Saccharomyces cerevisiae S288C: one gene and its partner. Changing the gene in region 1 together with any one later gene gives a genetic interaction. Each region holds a gene or a part of one and is shown on either strand. Other genes may lie near its edges.

Region 1 (3,179 bases):
AAAAATCGTTCAAAAAGGTTTGAAGAAACCCCGTTCAGGTTTCCACGTAATCGTTTAGGTATTAACTTTTTTTTACTCGCTTCTAGAAGTTTAGTATATTCTTTTGTACACAGAATTGTATATTTTTTTTATAATCTTGGATTCACCATTTAACTAGATTTGGAAATATAAGGAATGGCACTGAAAAAATTAAGGACCAACCCCGAAGAGCAAAAAATGAATGCGAATTCTGTGGATCGAACACAGGACCTCCAGATAACTTGACCGAAGTTTTTTCTTCAGTCTGGCGCTCTCCCAACTGAGCTAAATCCGCTTCTATTTATGAAAAATTCATTGTTACAGGAACTATAGGACTATAATAACTAGCTGCTAACACCTTTAAATGTGACTTTTCTCATAAGGAAATCTAGCGATTCAGAATTCGAGAATTTTGCAGATTGCAAAGTTTTCTTTTTACCATAATATTTGAGAATGTTGTAAAACTTGAGATAATTATTCGGATGTCATTGTTGATTGAAGATAGCATTCCTATGAGTCGCCCTCGAGGACTTGGATCGAAAAATCTACATAATATTAGTAATTACTATTATTGTTGGAATTGGATAAACCGTCGTCCACCTATTTGAGAAATAGGTAATTATTATATGAGTTATTTGGTTCCTTTTTGTTAAAGTAATAATTTGAAATGCCATCCATTTGGTAATATTCATGTTATTGGCATATTATCATATGCGGTTCAGGAAGATGACATAAAAGTTGAGAAACAGTTATCAACCCTAATGGAAGCTGAAATGCAAGATTGATAATGTAATAGCATAATGAAACATATAAAACGGAATGGGGAATAATCGTAATATTATTATGTAGAACTACCGATTCCATTTTGAGGATTCCTACATCCTCGAGGAGACTTCTAGCATATTCTGTGTACATAATATTATGGTCTTGATCAACAATGCAATCCCAACAGTTATCAAATTATTCAGAAAATTGATCACATTTTCGATAAATCTATTATGAAAGTAAAATTTTGACTCATACCTAAGTTCTCGTTATTCGTTAATCTTATGAACTCATTAACCTTGGCGTTTCAGCATCCGCTATGATTACTAGTGCTTAAACCTTGTTATTCATGCCTCATAATTGATGCCATCTTCTAACCTCGAGCGTGATAAAATTTTTGTAATATGAACACCAATCGGCGGAAGATCATCCCAAAGCCACATATGATGGTGCCTTATAACATTAATAACAACTTCAACTGCTGCATACCGATAATATCTTGACGATTATGCATTCGTGTCCTGATAGCTAATGCCATGAAACAATTCTTTTCAATCGCACTTGCACCTTCGTGAAATAGAAGGGTTATCTGGGCTTATCAGACTTGTCCACAGTTTACATATAATTTTTTTTCTGTATTAAATTTTGTGAGCTTTCTTTTTACTCAAACGAACTGTGTTATTTTTCGTTCATTAAATGCGTACCTTTAAGCATCATCAAGTATTGCTCTTCGGGAAAAATGAAGTAACCTTGTTAGGTTAATTTCACTAGTACTATACATATTTTATCCTGTATCATACCAGAGGATCATTCTAGCCACAATGGTCGATACGCATAAACTAGCAGACGACGTTCTTCAGCTATTGGATAACCGTATCGAAGATAATTATAGGGTTTGTGTTATCCTAGTCGGTTCTCCAGGCTCCGGTAAGTCTACTATTGCGGAAGAACTTTGTCAAATTATAAATGAAAAATATCACACATTTTTGTCAGAGCATCCAAATGTTATTGAGGTTAATGATAGGTTGAAACCTATGGTTAACCTAGTAGACTCTTTAAAGACGCTCCAGCCCAATAAAGTAGCTGAAATGATTGAAAATCAGGGGCTGTTTAAAGATCATGTTGAGGATGTTAATTTTCAACCAGTCAAGTACTCAGCCCTTACATCAAATAATGAAGAATGTACCGCAGTAGTTGCCAGAGGTGGTACTGCGAATGCCATAAGAATCGCAGCAGTTGATAATCCAGTCAATGTTAACAAGTTGGCCCAGGATAGTATCAATATAGCGCAAATAGTCCCAATGGATGGTTTTCACTTATCTCGCAGATGTCTAGACCTATTCAAAGACCCACAAACTGCCCATAAAAGAAGAGGTTCGCCCTCAACGTTTGACAGTAACAATTTCTTACAATTGTGTAAAATTCTAGCCAAGACGTCCCTATGTAAGGTCTCCTCACATCATAAATTTTACTCCACTTCAAGCGTTTTTGAGAAGTTATCCAAAACTTTTAGCCAAACAATTCCTGATATCTTTGTTCCAGGATTTAACCATGCACTAAAAGACCCAACTCCAGATCAGTACTGTATTTCCAAATTTACAAGGATAGTTATACTTGAAGGGTTATACCTACTGTATGACCAAGAAAACTGGAAGAAAATTTACAAAACATTAGCTGATACGGGAGCACTTCTTGTTTATAAGATTGACATAGACTATGAGGCCACCGAAGAAAGGGTGGCCAAAAGGCATTTGCAATCAGGGTTAGTCACGACTATTGCAGAAGGACGAGAGAAGTTTCGCAGCAATGATTTGTTGAATGGCAGGGATATAGATAATCATTTAATTAAGGTAGATAATATCGTCCATATCCGCAACGACTAGAAGGTTAGGCGGAACCTTGTATATATTTTTGTAAAATCGAACTGAATACAGATAATTAAGGCGCGCAAGCAAAAACGGCATTCTTTATGAACTCTGCAGAGGTGCCCTTTATTACGACATATATGGGAAGTAATACATATTGATTCTACAAGAAGTTCAAGCCAAGGTTTAGATATGAGTGACCAAATCAACGTTTTGTCAATGCAACAACAACAACAGCAGCAGCAGCAGCAGCAGCAAGTATATATGTCTCCTCAAGCAGAAAACTTGAATCATATGTACTTGTTAGTTAACAAGCTAGTGAAACAGTTGAGGGAAAATCAAGCAGAAAAGGCGAAAATACTAAGGAACATAGACATATTATCCGGAAGCTTAAACAAGTATGAGACATCTGAAGAACCTCACGATACCACGGAAAATATTGCATTATTTAATAGATTTCTAGAACAAAGAGGGAAAGCTCCTATTACTGAGAAAGAGCAACTAAGCAACAATCTGGATGAAAATGCGAAA
Region 2 (2,857 bases), on another chromosome or scaffold:
TCCAATTGACATGGTTTTGCTCGCTCACCTCATTGGCATCATCTACTTAATTATAATTCTAGGTACATTGGTCATGTTGTTTTCTTGATAGATATGCAACGCCTCGAAGACTATTTAGCAAGCTATTATATTGAAATTAGAGACTTCTGCACTAGATAGCCTTTTCAAAACATACGGATAAACTGATCTTTTAACGTATCTGCACTTTTGTACGAAGCTGGAAAGTTCCGAAGAAAGTGTTAGCTCCAAACTGAATCCTCTTGTAAGCTATTCTATGTCCCCTTTGACTAGGTTAGTCTTTTACTGGATTTTAAAGCAGATTCCTGTGACGATGATTTTGGAATTAAAGCTATATATATGTATGCTTGAATAAGCTCGTAGCAGTACTTTTTGGCCTTGTTCACAAATAAGGAGCTGCCAACCAATCAATTTGTAATATTAGTAATAAATATTCCGGAATATACTAACCAATGAATATTACAATACGTCGCGATATAGAACTAAGCATTTTTGTATTTGTATTTCAAGCATCTTAGATCTGCGATTTCATCTTCGATATTTCGAGCCCATCTTTTCACAAGCACAGCGACCCAGAATAAAAACATTGGAACTTGCAAACAGAGCACCGTTTTTTTATCTTCGACCACATGATTGAAACTTATCCAAGCCATAAGTACTAGTAAAATAATGTTTATTATGTTAATAGAAAAATTGCTCACTCTTAACTTAAACTTTTTGAACAAAAGATAGTCGTTTACAATATCATATCTAAGTGTGATGCACGAACAGATCAAAGAATTAGCGCCAGCAAGAAGTGCTAACTTAATATACCCTCGCGATTTTCTTACGAGTATCATTAGCAGTCCGCCATATAGCAAATACAATATGCTTAACAGGTTTATGTACAGCTTATTTGTGATGTGAGCATTAGTCTCAAATTTTTGTATGAGTTCTTCCTGCTCTTCTGTATCTAATGGTAATATGGATACATCTTCTTGATCAGATTCACCGTCATGAGTGTAGTCAGAACTCAAGCTTAAGATCTTTCTATTGAATCTTCTTAATCTGGACATGATTGAAATATTTGCTTTATCTTAGTATCCTGTTTAAAAATTATTCTAAACTCAACCTATCATAGAAACCAGCCTTTACTGAATACCACAGCGCGTCTTTTGGGGAAACTGTTTTTGTCTCATGCCAAGGTCGAGACGTATACAAACTGCAAAATAAAAGGAACCGTGGGAAGAGGGCTTACAAATGTCGAGACTAGCGCATAATAAAGCGCTACCTTATAAAATAATTGTCGATTTATCATTCCATAGAACGCGTTTACCCTCAGATGTTTCATCGCTAATAAAATTCGAGCAAAGACCTGCAATTATTAACATCCATGGCCTTTTGGGCTCACACGTGATGTTTCATTCTCTCAATAAGCTTCTTTCAAGGAAGCTTGACGCGGATATTTTTTCTGTTGATGTAAGAAATCATGGCATTTCACCAAAAGCAATACCTTATGACTACACTACACTGACCAATGATTTGATTTATTTTATTGAAACTCATATTGGCTTGGAGAGACCTATTTATTTACTGGGATTCTCTATGGGTGGTAAAATTGCATTATTAACCACATTGTACAAGAATATTAATATACGAAAGTGTATATCAATTGATTTACCGCCTTATGAAACCCCAGAATTAGATCCCATGATATTACAAAACTATGACTTAATAATGCGGATTATCCGCAGAGATGTCAAGATTTTAAGAGGTTCCCCCAGCTGGCAGAAAAAAGTTCTTGAGCTTTTCAAAAGTTTGGAATGTAATAAGAGGAAATGTGGTGGAGCTGTGGCACTCTACTTTGCCAACGGTTTTCTTTCTGTAAAATCCAATAATGTACACCAAGCACAGTTACACTATGAACAACAACAGCATGATCCTTATATAAATTACTCAATGCCTCTCTCCAGCATGCCGAACCTGTTGGATGAAGTGAAAAAATGGCCGGATCTATCGAACCAAAGGGACTTCTTCCAAAAAGGCACAGCCAGTCGTAAAGTTTTATTCATGAAAGGCCTGCAGTCTAACTTTATTAACAATGATTATTCCCTCCTGAGGTATAACTTTCCCTGTGCTGATGTCCGAGAATTTAATACTGGGCATAATTTACTGTTGGAGAATCCAGAGGACTCATTCAAATGTATTCTGAACTTTTTTGCGGAGGAGACGCTGGATTTTGAATAAAATCTTGATGTACGTAACGCACTTTCTTCTCGTGTCAGGCCCAAATCAACGCACACAGCAGTGCTTCGATCTTTGATTACAAAGTAGATAATGATAAATGGAATAGATAAAAGTATTAAAACAACGTCTCCTTGAAGGAGAACTATACATAAGATATGAAATAAGTAGGTATCGTTATAAGTTTATAAGGTTATGCAAGCGGAGAAAGTCTCTGCAGACATTGCTATCAAACTTCGTTCCAACCCAGGGAGTTTTGGCTAGCAATTGGTCTTGAAATTTTTGGTATGGAACTCGATGTATTGTGCCTGGTTGGAGTTGAGTCATTATTTGTCAACCCGTGACCATAGTAACTATCATCCATCCAATTTTGAATTCGCATAGATTGTGTTATGGATTCTTGAACGCTCATTCTCTTTTCATTATTGTAATTTTTCTCTCCACCAAATTCACTTGAACTGATACTGGAAATTTCTGGGTTCTTGATAATTTCTTGACTTTGAATCCGCCTTCTTATGATATACTTGAAAGCAAAAATCATGAATAAAATATATAAGCATCCACCAACAACAACGCCGATAACTAAACCAATGATTTTTTTCTTTGATTTGCTAGA

The links.
Region 2: mutations in YFH7 (region 1) and YGR016W together harm fitness more than expected from each alone (negative genetic interaction), as found in Saccharomyces cerevisiae (one large-scale study listed by BioGRID).

What each region holds. Positions count from the first base shown.
Region 1 is NC_001138.5:157,695-160,873, forward strand, and holds YFH7 (Yfh7p), read left to right. Parts: upstream 1-1,604; coding exon 1,605-2,666; downstream 2,667-3,179. Other genes in the region: YFR006W (putative Xaa-Pro dipeptidase), read left to right, coding at 1-58; FAR7 (Far7p), read left to right, coding at 2,841-3,179. UniProt on the Saccharomyces cerevisiae protein: ATP-dependent kinase that could be involved in endoplasmic reticulum membrane assembly.
Region 2 is NC_001139.9:520,477-523,333, reverse strand, and holds YGR016W (uncharacterized protein), read right to left. Parts: upstream 1,074-2,857; coding exon 501-1,073; downstream 1-500. Other genes in the region: YGR016C-A (uncharacterized protein), read left to right, coding at 1-88; EAT1 (putative hydrolase), read left to right, coding at 1,258-2,244; MSB2 (Msb2p), read right to left, coding at 2,471-2,857.